Linked DNA regions of Schizosaccharomyces pombe. Changing the gene in region 2 together with the main gene of any one other region gives a genetic interaction. Each region holds a gene or a part of one and is shown on either strand. Other genes may lie near its edges.

Region 1 (6,135 bases), 1.2 Mb from region 2:
TTTTTGTTAGCTTTGTTTGAATACCATTTTTTAACTTATGCGATACTTTCTAAACGGAGTTCACTTTTTAAATTAATCTATATCAACTGAGCCGTTCAATTCAATCCCTTTTTTTATATCAGCTTGTAAACAAACGTTTCAGGAAATGAGAAAGTTCAAAAAGCGTTAAACAGTGAATGCTTGTATGTTGAGCTTTGACTTGTTTGCAAATGTTTAATTGTCGAAATTCATCATCTGTATCTGTCCAAAGTTGTGAACTGACAAGATAGAGATTAATTTGTTAGATCACGCAAAGTACGATATGTTTAAAATGCTTATACCAGGTTGCAGTCTTTGTTTTTCATAGCTTTGCAAAAAAAAAAGTGGATTAAAATACTAATGACTACTAGGGTTCGAAAGGTTGCTGTTCGATTATGAAAAAGCGTTCACTCTTTTATCTCCCAAGCGATGATTTGAATTTTTGATGCATCTGTGGCGTAGAATATGATCAATCATTTTAGAAAACAGAATAATATTCAAGGATCCATTTAAAGTCCTATATAGAGTAAAGGATTTTAGCTATTATCCTCACATTGAAGACTGGTCCCATTATACCGAAGTCTGTTGACATTAATATCGTTGTACCGGCTTTTTGAGTAGACTAAATATCTTGTACAGGATCTACTTTGAAAGAGGGTATTAGGTCCTTTTTTTATTTTTTGTTTTCCAAGGATTAAGATAGAAGCTGAATTTTTTTGGCTAGGCAAAGTTGACTAATTATTAACAGACTGTGGTTCGAGTGATTAGCAATCAACCTATCCTTATATGAAATCGTGCTTTTAACAATTTCGGTTGTTGGGAGATAACTGTGTGTACGGAGAATCAGAAATTTTTGTTTTGGAAAATATTTGTAAAAGCAATTACGTCTAAATATAATGAATTACGCGCTAGAAAATTTTCATATAGCTGAATCCCGAAAAGCTCAACCTCCCATATGATTGAGCATCCATAAAAGCATGAAATTTTTGGTACAAGTATCGGTGAATCGTAAATTTAGAAATAACTGAGCAATTTTATCTCATACATAATATAGGAATGAAACGTTTGTCGATCAATAACTAGTCTGATACTTGATGCAAACATTTAATCAAATACCCTTTTTTAGGAATTTAAGGAAAGGGCTTTAAAAGAAATTGAAAACTTAACTAGAACTAGCTTTTCTTAATCGTTTCTCGTAACTTATCACCACACGCTAACATTAGCATTCCTTTGTATTCCAACGTTACCTACACTGCAGTCAAGGAAAATCATCCAACCTAACATTATTCCTTTGCATATCGCGTCCATTTTATTTTCTACCATGTCAAATACTGTTAGGAGCTTAGTCATCAAAACTAATGTCGTTAAAAGAATTATTAAAGATGTAGAAGTAAGTTTCCTTTTTGGATCGCGATTTTGTAGATGGAATTTTCTGACCTCAACAATTGTTTAGTTGGCTCATATCGATATTAACGAGGCCGAGAAACGTGTACAAAGTAAAATTGATAATGGGGAAGATTCTGCAGAAATTGAGCATCAGGTATGTTGCATTAGTTGAAACCATATAAACGTTGGACGTGTTGTGCTAGAAGATGTTTCTACCAAGCTGAAGATACTTTTCGGTGGTTTCCGCTTTAGCGTATCTTTTTTAAAATAAAAAATAATCAAAGTACTGACATTCTGGACCTCTAGAAATTTGTTTTGAAGAAGCATCTTGAGGCGTTGCCAGATGCTCTTGTACGTCTTCGTAATGCGACGAACGACTTGGAATCCATTTCTTCTGACAGTGCATACGAAGGAACTCCTGAACTTGAACAAGCAAATGAATATTTAGAAAAAGCAAAAGAAGTAATTGAAAAAGAGCAAACGAATTTCCCCACGAATGGGTACCACTGAATACACATTTACTAGCTTTTGTAGATCCCTGCTAAAATTTATTACTGACCCTTCAAAAGACGATCATGAAAAGGTTCTACGTTCATCATTCTTTACCCACCCTTTCAATGCTATCCTACTCAACTGTACTGTGTCTTCGATTTTTATTCCAATCCATTAAAATAATAGACAATCCCAACTACTTAAGGATTATCCAAGTCATGCTTAAATCTTTTTTAAGATTTCGCCAATCTATTCTAATTTTGCCAGTTAGGTGAAACTGTTCACATAAAAAAACATACGTATTCCCCTTTATTCTACTAGAGATTTAAATTTTAGCTGGACAATCAAACAATTTTAAAACAACCAAATGTTCCTGCTAACAAGCAGCATAGACAGTCGTCCTCTAGTATTTATTTGCACTTTTATTGTGAGTGTAATGTAGCGTATCACTATGTTAGATTGTACAGCTCATTGTTTGACGTTACTTACCATCTGAGCAAAGAGAAAGAAACACTTCGCGTGAACATTAAACAGATTGGGAGCATAAAACGTTCCATTTGTATACCTATGGCAAGTCCGCCAATATTATCAAGGGAATCACCTGTGTTGGGTTTAGAAGAAGAGAAGAAATCTGACGGCGGCAACTCTGAAGTAAATATTGACCCTTCTGCATCTTCATCGTTGAAGGAAGATGTAGATGGCGAAGAGGGAGCTGATACAAAAATAGATCCACACCTTCTTGAAGAAGATGATTTAAATCCTGTAGAGGATTACGATTCTAAAAACCAAAAAGTCGTTGAAGCATCTAAACTTGACCTTGACGCTACATCAACTGTTTGGGCGGAGAGTCTTAGTATTAATAGAGAAGCTAGTATTTCCCAATCAGGCATTGTAGACAATGAAATGGAGAAAAAAGTTGAAGAGGAAGAAGAGTTTGACGAATTTGACGATTTTGGTGAATTTGAACATGATATCCCCATCTGTACATTTATGGGTGATTGGCAAGATGATTTCCAAGATGCTGTCAATTCTGTATTTGGACTACCTGAAACTCCGAAAACAATTGAAGAATCCTCCTTGGATCCGGATCGTATATTGTCTCTTTGGCAAAAACTGATTGAAATGCCCGTGCTGCAACGGCCAGATTGGCTGAGGTCTAGCATCAGGCATATTTTTTTAGTTACTATGGGTCTTCCTGTTGATTTGGATGAACTTTTGCCTACTCCTTCTACCCAGGGATCATTCAATTCTTCACGCACAATAGAATTGTCTTCCGTGACGTTGCCAAAATCTGAGGATGAACCATATTTAGATTATTCAGCTGCTCGTCGTTTATGCAGCATAAACAAAGACGCATTAACCCACCGATCTCATGAGTCTTTACAACAGCATATAGAGTTACTAGAATCAACTCTGCAGCAAGCTGTTGAAGTTGCTCGATATTGGACCGATAAAAGGGATTCAGCTCTTAGCGATAAGTTGTTATATGAGACGGTTGTCGATGATTTAGTTCAACATAGCAAACGTTTAAGAAACTCTGGTCGTAAATTCCTTTCTAGAAGGAGCACTTCCTCTCATAAATGATCCCTTTATATCTTTAATTACCGACCTCTTTTCCTGAATTGCTGTTTTCTTGTTTAATTTTACGGGAGTAAAATAAAACGGAAGCGTTTTATTTTTGTTGCTGACGAACCTTTGTTACGTCTAACGTGATTAGATTTGACTTGTGATTCAGCTGTATTGTCTTCTTCGATTCTTTTGCCTCTTCTCTTCTTTTTAATGACTAATATTTTAATGACTCTTCTCTATGTGTTTATCAATATTATGTCAACCACTTGTAAATATAAATGGAACAGTATCCTAACCTAAGCGCCATTCTTGGTTATTTACATAATAGTCCATAATTATCTCTAAAGAAAAGGAGCAAATTTTGATTCACTGTTGGTACTTAAGTTATTCATCGTTAAAAAAACATTAAGAACATTTGTCGACACATTTCTGGCAAATTGATAACAACTTGAATGAACTGTTAAAATTATAAGCAGGAAGTTGAAATTTTATTTTTATTTATACTTATTCGTTAGACTTGCATTTGGAATGCTTTGGATTTACTAGTACCCTTATTCTCTTACAACCTGGACGTTCCTAGTAATATCAAACAATTAATTGACTTATGGAATTAGATGGCTTATCGACTAAAAAAAGCTAAGGCATTTCTTGACTAAAAACGCAAGGAAAGGACTATAAAAATTTGATTGTTACTACAGGTAAATCGAGAACCATCGTATATAGGAGCTGCAAAATTTTGTATATTATTGGTATGTTTGTCAGACGCTAAATGATTCTTACTTGATGGATAGTTTAACCTTTTTTTTTTGAGATTTACATGCAATTCATCTATTGCCTAAATTCACCAGCCATTATTTTGACAAATGCATTAAACTATTTAAGTATAGCGATTGCTTTTATAAAAGGATTTTGGTGCAGTACTAGGAATATGAATACGCGATTGATATTGAGTAATGTTCTGGCACAAGCGTTTTCAGCTGACAGATTTAAGCAGTCTGTTTTATAACTATTCTCAAGTAATACTTTCCCATTGAAAATAAAAAGTTATTTTTGTAATGTGGTTGGATTGTATAGTACGACTCTGCGGTTGAAGAAATGCAGAAAGCATCTTTGGCTAGCAATATAAATAACAAAAAAAAAAAAAAATTAGTCAAGCTAATTTTGTGTTTTATAAACAAAAAAAAAAAACCTTTGGAACAAAATTCTTAGTATACAAATTGCGATAACGTATTGTAATAGCCAGCACTCAATTTGGATTCTTAGTTTCAAGATATACATATATCGCTTGGATTAACGCTAACACCATTTTTTACGATTATTTTTCGCCTGCAAAAGAAAAAATCATAAGGGAAATATTATATATTTACACCATACCTTCGCTTTTGATTCAATTAGCTTTGATACAAATACCTGTCTTATAAAACTGGTGTTTGCCCTATTGCAACACCTCCATTCCCTTAGTACTTTTTAAAACGTTTCATTATGACTGCCAAACTCAATTCAGTAATAATTAATCCCAGCGTGGCGCATACGGCCACTGTGATTTTCCTTCATGGTATGAACGATGATAATGTTGAGACAAACATATCGTATATTTTCTTCATAATAGTAACACATTTATCTTAGGTTTAGGAGATAGTGGACAAGGATGGTCTTTTATGGCAAATACGTGGTCGAATTTTAAGCATATTAAGTGGATCTTTCCCAATGCGTAAGTAAAAGAATGTATTTAATCATGCAATTGTCTAAAGTAATGTGTGATGAATGAATGAGAATTCGCATTACATACTTTGTATTTTGATGCTAATTATTTTGTATATAGTCCATCTATCCCTGTTACCGTCAACAATGGCATGAAAATGCCAGCATGGTAAGTAATTGTTCTGCTTGATGATAAAGTACAATGTTCGCTAAAACTTTTTTAGGTATGATATCTACAGTTTTGCGGATATGAAGAGGGAGGACGAGAATGGGATACTACGTTCAGCAGGCCAATTGCATGAATTGATTGATGCAGAACTTGCTTTGGGGATTCCTAGTGATCGCATATTAATTGGCGGATTTTCACAAGGTATGAGCTGCCATGAAAGCGGTTAACTCGCTAGTCATTGCATTTTCAAAAAAAAAGTGAAATGGTTTTCACTTTTCAAAAGTATATTGCTTACTAACTCGTCATTTTCTCTAGGTTGTATGGTTTCCCTTTACGCTGGACTTACCTATCCCAAACGTTTAGCAGGAATTATGGGGCATTCAGGGTTCTTACCTTTGGCTTCAAAATTTCCATCCGCTCTCTCTCGAGTTGCTAAAGAGATACCCATTCTTTTGACTTATATGACCGAAGATCCTATTGTTCCCTCTGTCTTGTCGAGTGCTTCAGCTAAATACCTCATCAACAATCTACAGTTAAAATGTCTCGATCGACCTTTTGAGGGAGACGCCCACTCTCTCTCTTCAGAATCGTTTATGGCTATGTATAAATTTACTCAGACAGTTATTGGTTCACCATAAGTATTGTGTTTTTGGTGTTGAGACTTTGCAAATGAAGGAAATTGACGAGTCTTTTGCACTTTTAGAGTTACTCATAAAATTAAATAAGATTTACCGTGATTAACTTTTCCCTTTTTTAGAAAGCAGTTTCATACTAGTAACTTAAGACTATGAATTGTCATC
Region 2 (8,103 bases):
TCACCATAAAATATTGGGACAGGAGTTTTCCAAAAATCATCGAGAGTATGATCGTCAGACAACTGTATATACTCATATAAAATTCTGAATATTGTTTTGTTTCGGGGTACCTTTTTACCCATCAAACTGAATACAAAATGTTCCTCGAAATGTGATGATGTCGAGGAGTCACGTCGCTCTGATGGCTCTGTTGTGTGATTAGGAGCATCTTGAGACATTGAGTCAGTATAGTCTCCTGAAGAGTTACGAGATGATCCACTCATTGACTCCCTCAAAGAACCGGCCTCGCGGAGGATTGAAAAACGACGTCCAGTTTCATTACGCACAGAAATGCGACTGTGAAGATAATTATCAAGTGTACGAATAGTAGCTAGCCCATTAATAGAAACGACAAGAGATCGGAAAGGTGGTCGAATTCTTGATCCCGGAAGAGCCATTAAACGAAGTTTAAACTGCCGCGAAAAAACATGATCTACCGCATTCTCAGTATCTGGGGGTAACGTTGAAAGTTGAAAATTCTCAACAGTTGAAAGTAGATTTTGCAAACAAAAGATAAGTGAAACTAAGGGACCATTACCAAATTCTAAAACTTCGCGTTCATCACATGTATTCATAGCTAACAAAAATGTTCGAAGAGATGAACTTCCAAATTTTTTGAGTGATAAAAGCAAATTATGAATTAATCCAGAATGAAGTAATTCATGACTAGTAATATTAGATCCTTCTTGAAATATTTTGGCTAGTTCTGAAAAAGATTCGTCTTGTTTGGTCTCACTTAATAAATGTTTAGACAATTGTTTAAGTTGAACTAATGTTGAGTTTTCTAAATTTTCTTCCTTATAATTAGAGAGAAACTCCTTGGCAAGGCTCTTTAACGTCGATAAATTCTTCAACTCCTCATGACGAGCAGCAGATTTGTTTTGTGAAAAGGAAATACTTAACTTTATTTTCTTCATGTCTGCATTGGTAGAGCGAACTAAAAATCCAACCTCCTGTACAACGCCTTCTCGTATAAATAACGAAGAATAAACATTAGGAAGTGCTTCAAGCAAAAATAGACACATTTCTAAAGCATCTCGCTTCAAGAAATTGTCAGATTTGCGTGAATTTAAAATTGAAGCAATGAATGATGATAAAGGAAGAGAACAAACTAAGCCATCTAAATTATTTTCCCTAATTGAACATAACATTTTCAATGCCGTAGTCACAGCTAACGATCGGATATCATGAAGGGGCACAATAAAATAAATGTCCATTACAACAGTTAAGAGTATACTGTTTAATCGATATAGTTTCGTGTTAAATTCATCAGACAAGTTACTAGTGTTTTTAGGAAGCAAAGAAGTTATAGCTCTTAACAAGTTTTCTATTAACTCGATCGGACAATAATACAAACTTTGCATTGTAATCATATCAGCCTGATGGGATGTATCAGAAGGTGGTATTCCACACAGCATTTCGTACATCACATCCGGCAAATTATGGTTAAGAAAAGGTAAAATCAAAGCAGAAGATGACTGACACAAAGATGATATTATATGTAATAGCTGCACTTGTAAGTGCATTGACTTATTTTGTGAGGTAGAATTAGTCAAAGCATTGACAATAGTGGTGATCAAATCCTCGGAAATTATCGTTTCAATTATGTTTGGTGAAGTTTTCAAAGATTCAATAATTGTCTCCAGGCAAGAATATGCCTTACTAACGACTATGGTATCAGAAGATTGTAGAATATTAGAAAGCAATGGAATAATTTCTTCTGCTGCGGAAGCATTGGATTCATCCAAAAACTTACAGCAATTAGCAGCCAGAGAAATAGCTGTCCGTTGAACTGTAGTATAAAAAAAATCAAAGTATTGGAGAGCAGCTAACATTCCTCTGTGTTCCAAAATACAAATACCAAAATCTTTAGAAAGCCGTTCTAAAACTCCTAAAGCTTGTTCAGCAATATCAATGTATTGCATATCAAACATTCTTTCACACAGAATGCGAACAATAGGACTATATGCTATTTTAGCCATACATAAAGGCAAAGCTTCCATCATATTAGATACACAGGTAGTACAGGATAGCATAAGTTGAATAGAGACTTCTCCGAAATCATAATTTCGCCCAGATAAGATTTCGGAAAAAGCCGCAATGTATGAATCGGTTGAAAACAATCCAACAAGCATATCTTCAGTACTCATAGCAAACGCTTCGGAAAGTTCTTGAAGAGAAAGCATTTGAACAGTAGGATCACTAAAATCCTTTATTCCTTCTAACAAGCGTCCAAATTGAACACCTGGAGCAGAAAATGCAGAACGAAAAGGATGAAAGGAACTATTGAAACGGTATGTCTGTGGACCTAAAGAAACATCTTCGTCATCAGAGTTCTCCAAATTACCGGAAGAAAGTATAGAAGACGCTAAACTTTGAAACTGATTACCTCTTCTGATTCTTCCCAGTTCATTTAACAAGTTAGTTTCATCGTATTCTTCGATTCCACTCATGTTCATGTTTTCTTGTTCATTAATAACAGCGGCTGAAGGATTAGGTGAACCGTTTTCGCTTCTTAACTCGTCATTTTCATTTTCATCTTCATCGTCTCCCTCATCATTGTTTTCATCATCGTCTTCTTCCTCCTCTTCATCAACATCTTCATCTCTTTCATAACTTTCACTGCCACTACTGGATTCATCGTCTTTGTACTCGTTATTATTTATATCATCATCAGTTCCATCATTAGTATCATCATAGACGTGGTCATCTTGGTCATTATATTGGGACGAATCAGTAGAAGTATGATAGTTGCTGGAGTCAGAATACGTAGTTTCATAAGAGTTTGAATTCCCAAACTTGGTTAAGCCACTTTTGTCATTAAAAGTTATGTTCTTTGGTTCCATAACTGATTTATCAAATGGAATGATATCAACTTCCGCCTTTTTGTCTAATGCAGAATCAACCGAAGCATTGCTTAAAACGCGTTCATAAGAATTCAGTATATCCGATTGCTTATTAAGAGGCAACACACCTTTATCGGATTTCACTAACTGGGGTTTACCTTTGAGCTTTTCATTAAAGGATTTAAAGACCCTAGTTTTGCTCGTTGTAAGTGGTTGTTCAAGCAATTCGGAAAAATCATGCCGCATATTTAAATGCCTTCCAAATTCCACACTTTTACTAGAAGGTGGTTCAGAAATTTTGGCAGATACCTCCATTTTTAAAAAATGTTTAGTTGCTCTGCGTTTCTTTGTAAATGGCAATTCTTCAGAAGTGTTTAATCTATGTTTGTTGTCGGACTTACTTCGTAGGTTTGGTATAAACACAGGTGAGTTGGTTATAGATTCACTATGTATTAAATTCGGTAAATTCGGAGTATTCGTATACGCTTGAACAGACATGAAATAACAAAATGTCGCTCAGAAAGGCTAATTTAATAAACAAAATTTGGAAGCCTTTCGGCGAGCGATTGGAGTGATTGTTAATTACAATCCAACAAAACAATCAAGTAATTTCTGAACCAAGGAGACAAAATCCCAGTTTTAATTTGATCCTTCTATGATCTCTTGTTTAAGGCGGAATGTGCTGTTGACATAGGGAGATGGCAAAAGCGTCGACAACAAGGGCGCACCATTATGTTGCCGTAGTATGTGTTATAGTAATACGTTATTACTCTAAGTACTATTGTTTTTTTCTGTCTTTTACTGTCATTAAATATTTTTAAATTTGTTTTTTATTTGCAAGATGCTGTATTTTATTTATTGATTCAGCTTTGATTCACACTCGTTAAACGTACTTTTGTAGTCGATCGATTGTGTTTTTACAAGCATAATTGACGATAGTGAAATGAGATGCTCACTTAGTATTCACTAACATACATCAGTTATATAATATTAAGTTTACATTCAAATTGTTTTGTACAGTCTAGCGGGTACGAACTCTTGAACATGGAGCGGACGTAATGAAATAGTTTCTAAAACTTTTAACAATTATTCAACAACACGGTGGGTCTAGTTTTTGCCCTAGGTAGAAATTTACTTGAACGTCGTGAAATTCTTTCGTAACTATTTCACGAAAAAAATAAACACAAAACAAAAAGATTTAAAATATGAACATACAGCGAAAAACAAGTTGTAGCTGCGCAATTACATGCACGAAAGGGTAATATTTGCGGAAAGTTAAATAATCTATCTTCTATTTTCAAAACCAGGTTGTTCGCTCAAATTCTTTTGAAGCACTAAACGGCGCAATCCGAAAAACGATAGATAATCGAAAGCTTCATCAACTACAGGAGTAAAGTCTTTTCTTTCAAAAGCCTTCAACATTGGGTCGGTTGAATAAACTCGTGCTGAGACCACGTCAGCACCCATCTCCTTCGCCTCACGAAGTGCTGAATCTAGGAGATCAAACGCATACTGATAAAATTTAGGAATGACAGTCCAGTGGACAATAGTTGGTGTGTTTTGGTATGCACCAGGAGCATTTGCAGGCAAGATACCTATAATACCAATAACTCGTTCTTTGTCAATGCGGGCCATATAAAAATGTTTAAGATTCTCTTCAGCCAAGCAGCCGTCAGGTTGATTGTCTTCAGTGCTAATCTTTGCATACACATTTCTACAGGGAAATTCAATCAACGTCAAAAAGACAGCGCTAACCAATATTAATAAAACAAAAGTTCGTAATTTTGTATTTCCTTCTACCATGTTTGTTAAGCGATATATCCCCATAAACACCAAACCAAAAACCGCAAGATACAACGGGTGCCAAAAGATTTTTTGAGAGAGATTTCTCGATTGACCGTTCAACGCATTCATGGCAATCGATCGAATACTCGACAGCTCCGCAAGGGTGGGACGACGAATATCAATTCTTTTACGTTGCACATTCGACATTTTTATGTAATTAAATATTCTTTTTTGCTAATCTTTTTAAAATTTATTGTCACAATATTTCTTTTACAATTACCTTCTACTGTGAAATTTAAGAAGATGGAGGTTCGTAAGTGGAGTAGGTAAGAATGAAGCCATTATACCACCATAGATTTACCCAACCCTTGGTTGTTTCAGTCAATTTTTGCGAATTGTAATTTCATACAACTAGAATTTGATCAAATCTACCCTCTTATTAAATGATTGAGATTATTGATTCTATTGATAAATCACATTTAGGGTCAACTAGCTTTTAAAATGTTTTTAGGAATAGAAAAGAATATTGTGACGATCGAAGTAACATTTCTAGCTGAAATAACAATTGGATTTATAAGCTATATCTTCAGTTACTAAATAATTAGTTTCTACAATTTTTTTAGGCTTGAATATTAAATCTTTAAATAATTCCTAGGATAAAAAGAGTATAATGTATACATAGGAACAGAATATACATTTAAAAAAAATGGCAATTGAGTAGAGAAATAGGGAAGGTAATAATGCATCGATTAGATTGCATAACAAACTTTACATGAATCCGAAAACCAAGGATAGGAAATCCATTTACAGTATTTTTCACTATATAAATTAAAGCTTCATAGATTACACTACTTTCAGCGTGCCTATTTTGACCAAGAGTGAAAATATACTACACTCACAAAACGTATAAATGCTGAATTTTCACTTCTTGCAAGTTACAAATATTGCAAATTTCACCGTTTTCGAAATTCTTGTATAATAGGGCCTTACTAACTAGCTCATAACATTATAAAGCTATAACACAACGATAAGTTTTTTGAGTGATCAAAATTATTTTACACAGTTAATTTGCCAATGATTTGGTTATATTAAGAATTATAGATACTAAATAGTATTACACTTTACGAATAACTTAAAAACTATACTAAAGAAAGAAGTTCCATTGCATTATCCTTATTCTTAAATAGCTTTTGAATATAAAAAAGCAATGAAGAGTACCCAAGGGGACAGAAACGTAAATAATTCCTGACACGTAGTATATAGTGATGGTTAACGGGATACAATATAATCGTGCAAAGTGCTAATAAAGTTTTGTTTCAAAGCAATGCAGTATGTATCTGCTATATTTTAACGCAAGTTTAAAGAGTTCTTTATTTGAACTATTTAATGAGTTTTAAAAAATGTGATTGATCCAAATATTGCAAAGAATAGTGTATTGAAATATTTACCTCAAGCAGCTTCAATAAATGTTAAAATGAAACACATACCCTTTTATTAACGTAAATTGGGTTTGTTCTTTAATTAGCGTTATTTATGTCGCTTTCATATTATAAGTGACACGCTACTCCTTTAGAAGATTTCAACAAACTGTACGGTCGAGCTAGTCGGTTAAGAACATTTTACGATTTTGCAGGAAATTCAGTCTTCTGCATAAGTTTTAATTATAAATTAATTTGTTCGAATGCGATTTCGTATACTCCTATTTTAATTCTCATTGATTAATAAAAGAGAAAGCAGTAGCTTAAAAATCGCTCTTCTTACTAGATTCACTAATTTAAATACATTTCTTAATTGTCTTTTACGACTTCATTGAATAGAAACTTCTCAGTACTTGAGGTCGTTACCATTTGGATTGTTTCAGCAGAACTTTCACTTCTTATCCTTTACCTAACTATATTATGCAAACGATGTCTTCTGGAATTGCCCGTCCGGTTCTGTTTTTAACTGCTCGCGAGGGAGAATATGTTTTGAAGGATGAATTTCAATTAGGCAGTTCATCACGTTCTACTCCTCAAATTACCGGTTCACCTTTAGATCCAAACACGCCTGTAAAACGTCTGTTCTTTATGCGGATAAATATTGCTCAATTCTCCCGTTGGGATTACCCCTATCCACGAGAATATATTGAAGAACTTAAGAAAATTCATGGCGTTCATCATGTTGAAGAGAATAGAGATGTCCCCTCAATTCTTGAAAATTATCGCAATAGTAAACGAAAGTCCCACAACTTTTCTTCCTCTAACACTCCTTATTTGAAGCTTCACAGACCGGCCTCTCGTGCTGGTGCTCCTTTAATCAATGCTAAATCCTTTATCTCCTCCCTTACATTTCATGACAACATAGTACGTTCTTTTCAGCCTTCTATTCATGGTAAAACCTTTGTGTTTGCTAATCACGAAAAATCGTTTTATTGGCTTGATGTGAGTGCTGCTAATTCCCATTCTGCCTTACTCAAAATGGAATTTCCAAGGGCATCACCTGTTTGCCATGATATAAATTCCTTTACTAAAAGTCCCAAGGGCTTGGACGTAATAATTGGGTTTGATACAGGCGACGTACTTTGGTATGATCCTATTAATTTCAAGTATTTACGCTTTAACAAAAATGGACAGCTGAATAGCTCCTCTGTTACCGCTATAAAGTGGGTTGCTGGCAAAGATTCTCAATTTTTGGTATCTTTTCGCAATGGTTGGCTTGTGCTTTATGACAAATATCGTCACGAGCAACCACTCCATATTGTGGTACCGGAAAAAAACCTAAAATCTTTATATCTTAGTTCTCCAGGAACCTTTAATATTCTCATAAGTATTAATCACCGAGATGACCGTAAACTCAATCCGGTTGCTTGCTATGCATTTTCAAAATCACCGATTAACGGCTTTTGTTTCAGTCCCGATTATCAATACCTGGCACTCGTCTCTGAGAGAGGAACATTGAAGCTTTTTGATTTTGTGAAGGAACACGTCCTTGATGTTTTTCATAGTTACTTTGCTGGGTTAACCTGTGTCACCTGGTCTCCAGATGGTAAATTTATCGCTATAGGAGGTAAAGATGATCTGGTTTCAATATACTCCTTTCCTTTACGAAAGTTAGTAGCTCGCTGTCAAGGCCATAAATCTTGGGTCACCGATGTGATATTTGATGCTTGGAGATGTGATGATGATAATTATAGAATAGCTAGTGTAGGACTCGACAGAAAACTACTACTCTGGGATTTCAGTGTGAGCGCTATTCATAGACCCAAGTCTGCAGTTTATTATGTGAATCATCATTCTAATAATTCTAAACCAGCTATAAGTGATTTTGATGATGTCGGTGATTTAACAATGGGATCAGAAATTGACAATTCAAATTATGTGAACGGCGATATTACTATCCATCCTACATTATCTCGTTCTTTAATACCTGTTATATCACCTATTACCATTTACGA

Evidence for each region. Genes that interact genetically often act in the same process or in processes that back each other up.
Region 1: mutations in SPOM_SPAC12B10.01C (region 2) and SPOM_SPAC8E11.06 together harm fitness more than expected from each alone (negative genetic interaction), as found in Schizosaccharomyces pombe (one large-scale study listed by BioGRID).

The regions. Positions count from the first base shown.
Region 1 is NC_003424.3:3,375,809-3,381,943, forward strand, and holds SPOM_SPAC8E11.06 (uncharacterized protein), read right to left. Parts: upstream 2,287-6,135; coding exon 2,261-2,286; exon of another isoform or gene 2,214-2,260; coding exon 2,196-2,213; exon of another isoform or gene 2,151-2,195; coding exon 2,093-2,150; downstream 1-2,092. Other genes in the region: SPOM_SPAC8E11.08C (uncharacterized protein), read left to right, coding at 1-10; tubulin-specific chaperone cofactor A Alp31, read left to right, coding at 1,340-1,408, 1,472-1,558, 1,711-1,914; SPOM_SPAC8E11.05C (uncharacterized protein), read left to right, coding at 2,464-3,480; SPOM_SPAC8E11.04C (palmitoyl-(protein) hydrolase), read left to right, coding at 4,948-5,020, 5,092-5,176, 5,288-5,335, 5,391-5,536, 5,651-5,973.
Region 2 is NC_003424.3:4,572,059-4,580,161, forward strand, and holds the start of SPOM_SPAC12B10.01C (ubiquitin-protein ligase E3), read right to left. Parts: upstream 3,586-8,103; 5' UTR 3,384-3,585; coding exon 1-3,383. Other genes in the region: acetylase Sdg1, read right to left, coding at 4,170-4,877; bun62 (WD repeat-containing protein), read left to right, coding at 6,569-8,103. UniProt on the Schizosaccharomyces pombe protein: E3 ubiquitin-protein ligase which accepts ubiquitin from an E2 ubiquitin-conjugating enzyme in the form of a thioester and then directly transfers the ubiquitin to targeted substrates.